Oryctolagus cuniculus: one gene and its partner. The protein of the gene in region 2 interacts with the protein of the main gene of each other region in a pairwise test. Links are inferred from orthologs where the notes say so. Each region holds a gene or a part of one and is shown on either strand. Other genes may lie near its edges.

Region 1 (6,532 bases), on a different chromosome or scaffold from region 2:
TTGAATGAAACATCAGAAAACTCAACATACAATTGGATTCTTTAAAAAATAAAATAAAATAAAAGACATCCTTTGGATTAAACTTCCTCAATTTCCTGGATGATGGAAAAGAGTCTGGGTTTTTAAGTTCTTCTAATAGGACATTGTTGCAGGATATTTGCTTTGAAGACTGGAAGATCCCTTTCTGAGAGAAGGCCAGAGCAGTGGGAGCTGCTTAGGCGGCTCCCTGCAGGAGGCAGCACGTCCTGGCGTGCAGAAGTGCTAGAGCCAGAATACCAAGTTCAGATCCCAGCACCTCCACCTACTAACTTGTCCTCTTGTACACCAGTTATTTTGTCATACAGAAGGGACACTAATTATATCAACCACAGAGATGTGAAGCTCTTATAATGAAAACAAAGTGAGTGTTCCATTTGTACTTATTACCTGACCAAAAAGTGTGTGTGTGTGTGTGTGTGTTTAGAAAAAGAACAAGATATCTTGTTCATCATTTTTGGAGAGAGATTGGGACAAAGATAACCTTTGCTATTATAATTTTCTTCTGAAGTGGAAAACCATTTAAAAGTAAAATCTGACATGTCATACATTCCCGATAGTAGGCTCAACTCTTGGCATTTCCTTTGTTCAGAGAGAATATTTGAAAGCTTCTAAGGGACAAAACATGAATTGGAAGGATTTAATAAGGGGATGAAACTACTGTAGTGGGGATTAAAGTTACTATAAAATGATACATGATTAGCATCTAAAATATTTATTTGTTGAAACTGGAAGCAGCCTATACTCCAAAGTCCAATAATGCCCACAAGAAAAGAAAAATGTCCAGAAACTATGGCAGGGCAAATGTGCCCAACAGAGCAGGTTAAAAGGACCGAGGAAGCAAGGCCCAAGTTAGGGGCCCGGTTACAGTTTAGACATCAAAATATTGCAGAGTGAAAAACTCATTTCTGAGTCAGGGGTAGGAACTCAGAAGTGGTTTCTTTATTCCTGCTTCTGCCAAAGACTTAGGGACCACATATCTCCCTGCTGGGTTACCAGCAACTTGAATCAGGCAAGAAAATGTATTAGGCACCCAATGTATACCAAGCTCTGTTGTTCAAGATAATCTTATTCCATTTATTACCAAACTCCCCCAGGCTCTGCTTCTGGCCACTTTCCTTGTGATGGAGGAGGGGGAGAATATGGGTCTCTAACTTTCCACCATCAGAGCCTTTTGTTTTTCCAATTGCACTAGGATTTCACTTTCAGCAGTAGAGATTAAGAGGAAAAGAAACAAAACACTGAAAGAGCACCCAAGCGATGGCAATGAGAACAGTCCCAGTGGATGGTCAGGAGCCCCAATGCAGGACACACGTGACCTCAGGGCACCCGGACGCCGCGATGACAGGAAAAGGAGACACACACTGCCGCAGCCAAATCACACAGATCCTCAGGACTTTCGTCTTCCACAAAAGAACAACGCTCCAGAAATGACAGAGTAGCAGCATCTTTTTTCTTAGAGAAATCCCTTCTGGAGACGAAACCTTCTAGAACGTGTTTCTACGGCCGGTGTTGGAGCAGCGCTAACCAAGTCTCCCAAAGTGCACCTTTTGAGTGTGGCTCTAAGATCTCCTTCCCGCGGGTTTCGTGATTCCTTTTGCCTTCAGCTCCTCTTTGACACGTTTCAAATAATCAGGATCAGGGTAGCCATAGCTGCAGAAGGAAAAATCCCTTTAGTTTCATCACAAATGGTTCTTAAGAATCTGTACAGGGCCGGCGCCGTGGCTCAATAGGCTAATCCTCCACCTTGCGGCGCCGGCACACCGGGTTCTAGTCCCGGTCAGGGCGCCGGATTCTGTCCCGGTTGCCCCTCTTCCAGGCCAGCTCTCTGCTATGGCCAGGGAGTGCAGTGGAGGATGGCCCAGGTGCTTGGGCCCTGCACCCCATGGGAGACCAGGAAAAGCACCTGGATCCTGGCTCCTGCCATCGGATCAGCGTGGTGCGCCGGCTGCAGCGGCGGCCATTGGAGGGTGAACCAACGGCAAAGGAAGACCTTTCTCTCTGTCTCTCTCTCTCACTGTCCACTCTGCCTGTCAAAAAAAAAAAAAAATCTGTACAGTAGGCCTTTGGCATCTGAGGACTTAATACTCAGGACTGCCAACATTCACAGGCAATCTTGAAGGCAGTTGACTGACTTACAACCACTCTTGTGTGTGCAGATGTGGGACATCCAGCTCTTGGCTGAGTCCAGGCACCTGACCAGCATCTGCCTTTTAACCAGCCTCTTTTTTATTTTCAGTTTATTGTGAGCATGGGGAAGGGGGTGTCCATAATCATTTGCTAATAATATTTACAAATGTAGGAATTTGAAAAGGCCTTAGAATGTATTTTTTAATGCTAGGATCTGAGATATATGAGTTACAACCAAGACTTTTTCTATTAATGCCATTGGCCAAGAGGGTTCAGCTTCTCTGTGGATTAATGGGGGACAAGGAGGAGGGAGAAAGTGACCTTAAAAGAAAGCAAAACAAATAGCATTTGAAGGATTTAGCCTTCAAATCGACAAGAAGCCCCAAATCACATCATCTTAGACACTATTCACCTTGGGTTCTGAAGCCTTCCGCCCCTTGACGCAAAATTTAAGAACTGCAGACTGCTTTGTGGCTGGCAGGGTAGAGGGCTTTGGACACCAACCTTCCTGTCTTTGAGGCTAGCCTCCCAGATTAGCATCTCACAAAATATTCTACAGTCCCCAACACGACCACTATAAAGTCTCCTTGCAGCCACAGCCCCGAATTTCTGGATCGCACAATCTCTAAACTCTTGTTTAGCAACCATTATACTACTGAAAGGCTCTCACTTTTCTGGTCCTCCATGACGGGATGTTTTGTGGTGGATGTCGTTCCATGTAATGACATCTGGGGTGCCCAAGGCTCGCGATTCCCCCACTGTGAAAATCAGCTTCTGATCAAAGGCCATCCGGAGCAGCTCCAGCACCTCTCTTCCCTCCCTATTATCAGGCAGGTACGCGGTTCGCTGTGTTCCAGGATAACTCCTTCCTGGGTTTGGGTGCTCTTTCTATGTGAAGACAAGAAAACGTCACATGAGAACAGTCCGCTTTCAAAATTCCACTACATGTACGGATGTATTAACTTGTAGGGAAAGCAAATCAAAAGAAAGAAAGAAAGGTATTGTTTGGGTCATATTCTCATGGTTTACACTTTTTCTCTTTCTTCAAATTCATGCTGGGAACATTATCCATCCTCCTGTCTCCTCTGTCCCCACCTTCATCCTAACATATAATCTCTATTCACCCTTTCTCTGCCTTAAGAAATAGACACCAGGGGCTGGTGTGGGTAAAGCCGCCACCTGCAATGCCAACATCCCATATGGGCACCAGTTTGTGTCCTGGCTGCTCCACTTTTGATCCAGCTCTCTGCAATGGCCCAAGTGCTTGGGCCCATGCACCCACTTAGGAGACCCAGAAGAAGCTCCTGGCTCCTGGCTTCAAATTGGTGCAGCTCTGGCCATTGCAGCCATCTGGGGAGTAAACCAGCAGATGGAAGACTCTCTCTCTCTCTCTCTCTCTCTCTGCCTCTCTATAACTCTGCCTTTCAAATAAATAAATATTTCAAAAAAGGAAGGAAGGAAGGGAGGGAGTGAAGAAAAGAAATAGATACCAGGGCAGGGTTTCGGTGCAGTGGTTAAAATGCTACTTAGGGCCTGCATCCCATGTAGGAGTGCCTCGGTTTGAGTTCTGATTCTGCTCCCAACTGTGGCTTCCTGTTAATCTTGCGAGGAAGCAAGTGATGGCTCAAGGGGTGGGATCCCTGCCACCCAAGAGGGAAACCTGGATTGAGTTTTGGCCTCCCGGCCTCAGTCTGGCCCATCCCTGGCTATTGAAGGCATCTGGGAATAACCAGAGGATGGAAGATCTCTCTGTGTGTTGCTCTGCTTTCCAAATAAATAATATATAAATAAAAATAGAAAACAAAATAGACACAAATGATATCTGAGTTACAGGCAAACACTGTGACCTTTATCACTAGTTTAGTCTCTTGCATTTGACCATGGAATAACTAACTCCTTGGGAAGTCCACTGTCAAACAGGCAGGAGGGCAACATCTTTTGCTCTGGCAATCCTGGCAGAGCAGAGAGAAACCCTGGCCCTTAGCGACACTTACTGTCTGTATGCCTCCTTTCATTGTGTAGGTGATCACAATGGAGCCACAGGAAGTATAACCTGGAAGTGAGTATCTTGATACACTGTGGACCATGGTTCCTTCTGGCTGATTCCCTTTCTGCATACCATAGGAGACCTGACACACAGGACAGGCCGGTCTATAGGACAGGGCTTTGCTGATACACGGACTGCAGAACTCATGCTTGCACTGGGGCAGCACGCGTTTGTCTGTAATGGCATCCATGCAGATGATACAGATCTCCTTTTCCTTCTCGTCCAGTCCCGAGGCCCCAGGACCCACAGAGTCCTTTGATAGAGGTGACGCTGGTTCTGAGCCATTACTATCGATTTCCATGGGTGCTTCATGATCCTCATTCGATTTCTCTCCAGCCGATGGAGACAGCCCACTTTTCTGCAGGACATACTGCTTTGCCTTTGCAAGGTGAACTGGCAAACCAGTCAAAGTCATTGACTTTGAAGTGAACGCCAAGTGTAGCTCTGGATGATTTCTCTCAAAGTCATCGGTAAACTTAGTGCTCCGGAAGTGCTTTCTCTCCTTGCCCAGATGTTTCAGTGACAGAACTTCTTTTGTCAGCTGACACGAGGCGTGCTGGAAGGCATCGATGAAACTGGCATACGCATGCTCAGATAGATCTAGCTCCCTCTCCTTGGGCTCAAAGAGAATGCAGGTGTTCTGACTTCTCCGCAAACTCTTACAGTCAGCGTTGTACTTTTTCTCTATCTCTGCGATGTCCTGGAGTAATTGAGTCTCTAAAAGCTTATAGCAAGCAGTGTCAACCTCAATCCCATCTACCATGCGACTGGGAGCCAGGATTTTCACAGGTGCCTTGACAAGGCTCTCAGAGATTTTCTGTTTGGCAGCTGAAATGTCATCTTGGGTCCCGAGGAGAGTTAATTTTCTTCCGTTCTCCTTTACAAGGAGTTTTGTGAAATGATGATTCAATTCCTGTTTCATTTTATTTGCCTGTGCACTGTCGGCTAAAGAGACACAATCTTGCTTCAGAGATTCTGTGACCTTCTGGAATTCACTTACAAAAGACTCACGACCTCCTTCTAGGTCGCCTGATGGACTTGAAACGAAGTCTAAATAGACCACCCCGGGGGAACTCGTATGAAATCTGAGATCGACACCAAATCTTCGCTTTATGGAGTCTGTTTTATGAGGACAGACGTATTTGAAATATTCAAACAAAGGCTCAGGGACTTCAAAACAGTTGCTTCTTTCTTCCGACCCAGTGTTTGCTTTGGAAGGAGCCATGCGGCTGCCCCGGTCCTGCTGAGCAAGTGGCTTCCTCTTTGTAGATGTGATGTAAGGGGCTAGACTTGCTTCAGGCAAAGACAAGGGGCCTTCAGCGAGGCTGCTCTCTCCTTCGGACCCCTTGTTAGGTTCGGAAGGAGCCACGCGGCTGTCCCGGCTATCCCGGCTATCCCGGCTGTCCCAGCTATCCCGGCTGTCCCGGTGCTGCTTATCAAGTGGCTTCCTCTCTGCTGTCAGAGGAGATGGCTCGCTCTGCAGGAGCTGCTCACTCAGGAACTCATGTATTGTTTCCATCGTTCGGAAGTCACCACACACCTTCTCAATTCCGTTCCGACCCTCCATGACTTTCACCTCGGGGCAGAGCGTGGTGATGTGTGCTCTCTGCTCTTTGGAGAACAGGTTACAGTTCAGGTCGGCTGTCACTTCAAGAAAGATCTGAAATTGTAAAAGGAACAGGGCCGGCGGTGACCATCTTCCACCTGGCTGATGGCAGCCCCTCCTACCTGGGCTCGGACCTTCCACTCTAGCCCCTTCCTACAGGTGTTTTTACACACAGAGGCCAGAGTGACCCTTTGGAAATGTAGATTGGATCACCCACTGCCTGCTCAGAACCCTCTGGGGAATCCCCTGCTGGGTAAGCTAATCTCCAAAGCCCAGAGCCCTTGGCCCGGTCTACATACCCCTAACACTTACCTTCTGGAGACCTACCCTCCCTCCCGGCCTCCTCTGACACTGGCTTTCCTAGAAGATTCTAGGGCTCAGGATGTTAGCTCCTGTGGGACCCTTTGCACGTGTGCTTCCAATGTTCTAGAATGTTCTCACCCCAGAAGCACACTTAGCTGGCCCCCCAACTTCATTCATGTCTCTCTTCTGATGTCATGGCATTTGGGAGGTTTTTCTCAATATCTTGTTCCAGATGGTAGCCCTGTCGTTCATCCCGCTTCACTCTGCTTCCTAGCACTTAGCACTGGCACACGTTTTATCATCTGTGAATTGGTTTGCTTTCATCGTCTGTTCCCTGCATTAGAAGGTAGCGTCCCCCAGAGCAGAGCCTGCCGTGGTCTCGGCTGTGTTCCCAGCCCATGCGGCAGCAC
Region 2 (6,571 bases):
CTTAAATGCATCTCCTACTCAAATAACAGACAGTTCTCAGCGGTCATGAACCCGGGTGCTGAGCAGAGGTTTGAAAGAAGGGCAGGAGAGCGAATGTGCTGCGAGGCCCACTGAGAAGCCTGCTCCGGGGCACGGTAATTCTCAGAATGTTGCACTCACGGCAGAGGATGATAAAAATGCTTGTAATCGATAATTTCTGGATGAAAATCAATTCTTATAGATACCATATTATTTGCATTTCAGAATAAATCTATTTACAAAAAAGTTGTCAAAATCACAGTGAGATACAACTTTACATCTACTAGGATGGTTTTTATAAAACAAACCAACCAGAAAACAAGCACGCAAGATGTGGAGAAACTGCAACCCCTGGGCATTGCTGGCAGGAATGTAAAATGGCACAGTCACGTGGAAGACAGGATAGCAGTTCCTCAAACAGTCCAACAAAAACTACCCTGTGATCTAAACCAGGCTTACAGTATATCACAGGTGTATGCCTGGAAGAATTACCAGCAGGGACTCGAATAGACGCTTGTAATATCAAATTATATGGAAGCATTATTAACAACAGCCAAAAGTTGGAACAAACCAAATGTCCATGACAGATGAATGGATAAGCAAAATATGGAGGATATAAAAAAGTGGCCCATTATTCAGTCTTAAAAAGGAATGACATACTGAGACATGCTCTCACCAGAGGATAAGTAATGTGTGAAGTTACTTATACGAGGCACCTAGACTCCGCACATTCACAGGGATGCAAAGCAGACCGCTGGCTGCCACTGGCGGGGGGAGGAGAGGAACAGGGAGTCATCTTTCCTGGGCACGGAGTTTCTATTTGGGAGGGGGAGAAAGTTTTGGAAATGGACGATGGTGACGGCTGTACAACACAGTGAATGTACCTAATGCCACTGAACTGTGTCCTCAAAAACTTTCGTATGTATATTTTACCAAAACAAAAAAGGACACTTTTGTGCTAATGAGACTTCATGGACCCTTTAAGTCTTAGTCCGTGTGAGGCACTCTCTTTTTGTACATCATGATTCTGTTGATGGGAAAGCAAAGACACCCAAACAGATCAAGACTACCTATCATTGTTCATTTACATCTATTTTGATTTCAGTGGTGTTATTCCTGCCAGGAAAAATCCAGGACAAGCTATTACGGATTATTTTGAAATCGAGAAGGCTGGGGAGTGAAGATCAACAGCCCACACAGCATGTGAAGATGCACACTGGAAGCCATAGAATAGCTGTAAGGAAGCTTACATCCATGATGGTCACGGGGATGTCCCGAATTTTATGAGGTTCCACGTAAGAATTCTGACAATTCAGGGTAAGCCTGGAAGCCAGTTCACTCTGACCCAAACTTTCCAGCTGCAAGAAGAAGCACAGGTAATGTTTGGAAATTATTTCACTTTTCACATTCACATTAAACCCACAGACTTCACAGGTATCATGTATGGTGGGGCCAGAAAAGTCACCAACGAGGAGACACAGTGTCTGAGAGACCATGAACAAGGCCCCCCAGGCAGCAGCCTTTTCCTATTCTGGGAGCCTGGACAACGTTCATCTAACTCAAACTGGCCAACTAGAGCCCTCAACCTAAGCTGCCTGCCTCAACCAGGTGCCCGGGGACGGCAAGCCAACTCCTGGAGCCCAACAGTGGTGGAAAAGCAGTAAGAACCCCAGAAATCATCTTGCCCAGTGGTTCCCAAATGCAAGCCTACGGAGCTGGTTCATCAAATTGATCTGGGAGGTGGGAGAGGGAGGTGAAGTACACAGATTCAGATCCCACGCCCAGGGATTCCAGATGTGTGTCTGGTGTGAGTCCTTGGACTCTGTATTTGTTTTTAGTATTTCTTTTCTTCTACTTGAAAGGAAGAGTGACCGGGTGGGGGATCTTCCATCTTCTGGTTTACTCCCCGAATGCCTACAACAGTGGGGGCTGGACCACGCTGAAGCCAGGAGCTTGGAACTCCAACTGGGTCTCCCACGTGGGCAGGAGGGGCCCAGTCACTTGAGCCATCACCTGTTGCCTCCCAGGTACACTAGCAAGAAGCTACATCAGAAGCATGGAGGAGCCAGGGCTTGAACCAGGCACTCTGACATGGGACGCAAGTGTCCCAAAAAGTGGCTTACTCTGCTGTACCACAGCACCACCCCAGAATACGTATTTTTTTAATTTATTTATTTGAGAGGCATAAAGGCAGAGAGAGTGAGCGAGCGAGAGCGAGTGAGGGCTCCCCCATCTGCTCGTTCACTACCCAATGCCTGCAACAGTCAGGGCTGCGCCAGGACAAGCTGGGAGCCAAGCCACAACCACAACCCAGGTCTCTTGTGTAGTAGCAGGAACCCAGTCACTTGAGCCATCACCACTGCCTCCCAGGGTGAGCGTTAGCAGGAAGCAGGAGTCAGACTGGAGCAGGTATTGAACTCACACACTCCATGTGGGATGTGGGATGTGGGATGCTGGCATCTTAACCGCTAGGCCAAATGCCTGCCCCTGGAATCTGTATAGCTGACAGCTCCCTAAGGAATGCTGATGAGCAGCAACCAGGAAGCACCAGTGCAGCCAGTCCCTCACCAGCAGTTGTCGTTCAGACGAATTAAACTTAACACGGAAGACTGCGGAGTAGTTACCTCTGACACACGCTCGGTGAGGTAACAGATCTTCAGGAACCAAGTGGACATGAAGCTTCCTGGTACGGGAGCTGTGATCCTTACTTACCCTGTCCACCATGAAGTCAATGGCGTTGGCCATCATAGGGTCCACTGGGCCAGAAGAAAAGTTTCCAAGAACTATTTTTTTGAGCATAAATGCTGGCATCAGCCAAAAGCTGAAAAATAAAGACCTTTTCATTTAAACTTCTAAGACTACACATAGAGGACAAATCTTCAACATTTGTAATAGCTAGCTGCTGGGAATCCAGAGAGATGAGAAGACCTAGTCCCTTCCTGCAAAGAGCTCAGCTTCTAGTTTGTTTTTTTTTTTGTTTTTTGTTTTTTTTTTTAAGATTTACTTATTTTATTTGAAAGTCAGAGTTACACAAAGAGAGAAGGAGAAGCAGAGAGAGACAGGGACAGAGACAGAGAGAGTATCTTCCATCCACTGGTTCACTCCCCAGAGGGCCACAACAGCTGGAGTTGTGCCAATCTAAGCCAGCAGTCAGGAGCTTCCTCCAGGTCTCCCACGTTGGTGCAGGGGCCCAAGGACTTGGGCCATCTTCCACTGCTTTCCCAGGCCATAGCAGGGAGCTGGATTGGAAGTGGAGCAGCTGGGACTTGAACTGGCACCCACATGGGATGCCGGCACTGCAGGCAGCGGCTTTACCTGCTATGCCACAGCACCAGCCCCAGCATCTATGTTTTATATATACTTTCCCAAGATGCCAAAAGAGTTACATTTTAATGAAATTTTACTTGATAATTTAGAATAATTATTAGCAATATCTCCAGAGGCCTTTACCGAGATAGTCTTGTGACTCCAAGATTTTTTTTCTAACTGTGTTAAACCACTTCCTTTGGAAAAAGTAGTATTAAGAGAAATATTCTTGCTTTCTGGTTGATGTCACCTTTTGATTGATACTTCAAATCATTTCAAAATACCAAATGAAAGTTACTCCGCCTCCCAAAATTTGCTACCATTATATTCAATGAGCCTAATTCAAGGCAATTTGATCTCTATGGATTTCTGTACATGATCTTTAACTGATACTTATTCTATTAATTTCAAAACGAGTCATTATGGAGGATAAACGCTAATTTCCCTAACTACACTGATGTATCGTGGTGCAGACATCTTGATGCTTACTCTCATTAGAATGGCCTTGCTGGAAGCTGAGCTGCCCTCCCAAGGATCACTGAACCATCTTCCAGTCAACTCTCCAAGTTTTCTCCCACCTCTACTGGTTTATCTTTTTTTTTTTTTTTTTTTTTTTTTTTTGAAAGGTAGTTAAGAGAGAGAGAGACAGAGAAGTCTTCCATCTGCTGGTTCACTCCGCAGGCGGCTGCAACAGGCAGAGCTGAACTGGTCAGAAGTCAGGAGTCAGGAGCTTCTGGGTCTCCCATGCAGGTGCAGGGAGCATGGAGCATGTGGGCCATCTTCCACTGCTTTCCCAGGCACATTAGTAGGGAGCTGGATCAGAAGTGGAGCAGCTGGGACTCAAACCGGCACTCACATGGGATTCCAGCATCGCAGGCGGCAGCTTTACCCACTCTACCCCAGTTTATCTTTTAATGGCAACGATGGCTATGTACACCCTGAGAAGGACGACCCTGCTGGCTCTGCTCACCCCTGTATCTCAGTGTGTAGCTCTTACTAAGTGCTCACATGTTTAATAAAAAGCAGCTGATATGCAAAAGCAGCAATGAAGTGAGGACAGTCATGGTACTCTGTTCTTCTGTTATTGGAAAAATAAACACCATCAAAATAACCAGTGGGCTTGATTTTATCATCTGGAAGCGAAGTATCTGCACGCAGCTAACGTATATAAGCTGCAGGAGAACTGAGAAAATCAACTCCTGAGAGCACAGCAGGAAAAGTTCTGAGACACCAGGGTAGCGCGCCATTCGCTTAGTGATCAAGATGCTGCTTGAAATGACACGGCCCACACCCGAGCGCCTGGGCTGGACTCCCAGCTCTGCCTCCTGATTCCAGTTCCCCAGCAGTGCAGACCCTGGCAGGTGGCTGGGACGGCTCAAATAGTTGACTCCCTGCCACCCGTGTGGGAGAGCTGGCACGAGTTCCCAGCTCCTGGCTCCAGCCCTGGCTGTTGTGGGCACCTGGGGAGTGAATCAGCAGCCGGCAGCTCTATTCGTCTTGTCTTTGTCTGTCTGCTTCTTAAATGAATTTTTTAAATAATAAAATAAAACAAAAATATCAGACTGCAAAGCTATAAAAATGTGAGGAGAGAGGGTAGAGTGGGAAGTATCACCAGGCTCCTAAATCTGTCTATATGAAATACATGGAATGTGTTCACCTTAAAAAATTACAAAATAAAAAAATTTTAAAACTGTGAATACCGTGAAAACAATGTCTACTTGTAACAGTATTTGAAAACGAACCTGATCACAGAGATGCATTTATCGCTGGGCTTTTTTAGGGCAGGGCTGAGCCTGCTGGCAGTGACAGACGCACACACAAAGCCAGCTTCAGTGACCCACTGGACACCTATCCAGGAGACAGGCGCCCTGCTGCTGCACGCCCGCCCTTCTGAGGAACAGAGTGACACCAAGTGCAGCCACTGAGGGACTAAGTGCCCCCGTCTTCAGAATGGGAACACATCTCAAAGAAGGAACCCAGGAAACAAAGGGAGAAGACTAATGTGTACCCGATTTACAGTGGAACATGAGACACAGGGAAAGCCAAGTGCCCAGGAAAATTGTGTCAGGTGATGCTCAAAAGTTTAACACAAAACACTAAGTGAGGGGGCCAGCACTGTGGTGCAGTGGTGCCCCAGCCTGCAGTGCCGGCATCGTCTATGGGTGCCAGTTCAAGTCCTGGCTACTTCTCTTCCGATCCGGCTCTCTGCTATGGCCTGGGAAGGCAGTGGAAGATGGCCCAGGTCGTTGAGCTCCTGCACCTGTGTTGGAGACCCAGCGGAGGCTCCTGGTTCTTAGCTTCAAATTGGCTCAGCTTGGGTCATTGAATTCATCTGGGGAGTGAACCAGCAGAATGGAAGACTTCTCATTCTCTCTCTCTGGCTCTACCTCTCTCTGTAACTCTGTCTTTCAAATAAATAAAATAATTCTTTAAAACAAACAAACAGTAAGTGGGACAAGCAGACCGCCATTCAGTTACACAGGAGCACTGAGGAGAACAGAAAAAGCATGTAAGTGTGTATTAGACGGGCCAACGCTGTAGTACAGCGGGTTAATACCCTGGCCTGAGATGCCAGCATCCCATATGGGTGCCGGTTCAAAACCTGGCTGCTCCACTTCCGATCCAGCTCTCTGCTGTGGCCTGGGAAAGCAGTAGAGGATGGCCCAAGTCCTTGGGCCCCTGCACCTGCATGGGAGACCTGGAGGAGGCTCCTAGCTCCTGGCTTAGGATGGGCATAGCTCAGGCCATTGCGGCCAACTGGGGAGTGAACCAATGGATGGAAGACCTCTCTCTCTGCCTCTCCTCTCTCTGTGTAACTCTGACTTTCAAATAAATAAATAAAATCTTCAAAAAAAATGTGGCCGGCGCCGCAGTTCACTAGGCTAGTCTTCCGCCTTGCGGCGCCGGCACACTGGGTTCTAGTCCCAGTCAGGGCGCTGGATTCTGTCCCGGTTGCCCCTCTTCCAGGCCAGCTCTCTGCTGTGGCCAGGGAGTGCAGTGGAGGATGGCCCAAGTCCTTGGGCCCTGCACCCCATGGGAGACCAGGATAAGTACCTGGCTCCTGCCATCGGATCAGCGCGGTGCGCTGGCCGCGGTGGCCATTGGAGGGTGAACCAACGGCAAAGGAAGACCTTTCTTTCTGTCTCTCTCTCTCTCTCACTGTCCACTCTGCCTGTCAAAAAAAAAGTATTAGATGATGATTCAGAGTAACGGAGATAGTTGAAATTAAAACTCACACAACTCTTTT

The links. The genes of interacting proteins can lie anywhere in the genome.
Region 1: the proteins of SPG21 (region 2) and DTX3L interact in binary tests that used the Homo sapiens proteins (3 or more experiments, as listed by UniProt). The two-hybrid records come from large-scale screens. The link is inferred for Oryctolagus cuniculus from reciprocal best matches to the Homo sapiens genes SPG21 and DTX3L.

What each region holds. Positions count from the first base shown.
Region 1 is NC_091435.1:78,771,221-78,777,752, reverse strand, and holds the end of DTX3L (E3 ubiquitin-protein ligase DTX3L), read right to left. Parts: intron 5,874-6,532; coding exon 4,161-5,873; intron 3,055-4,160; coding exon 2,837-3,054; intron 1,690-2,836; coding exon 1,599-1,689; downstream 1-1,598.
Region 2 is NC_091443.1:87,992,259-87,998,829, forward strand, and holds part of SPG21 (maspardin), read right to left. Parts: intron 2,840-6,571; coding exon 2,731-2,839; intron 1,377-2,730; coding exon 1,269-1,376; intron 1-1,268. UniProt on the Homo sapiens protein: May play a role as a negative regulatory factor in CD4-dependent T-cell activation.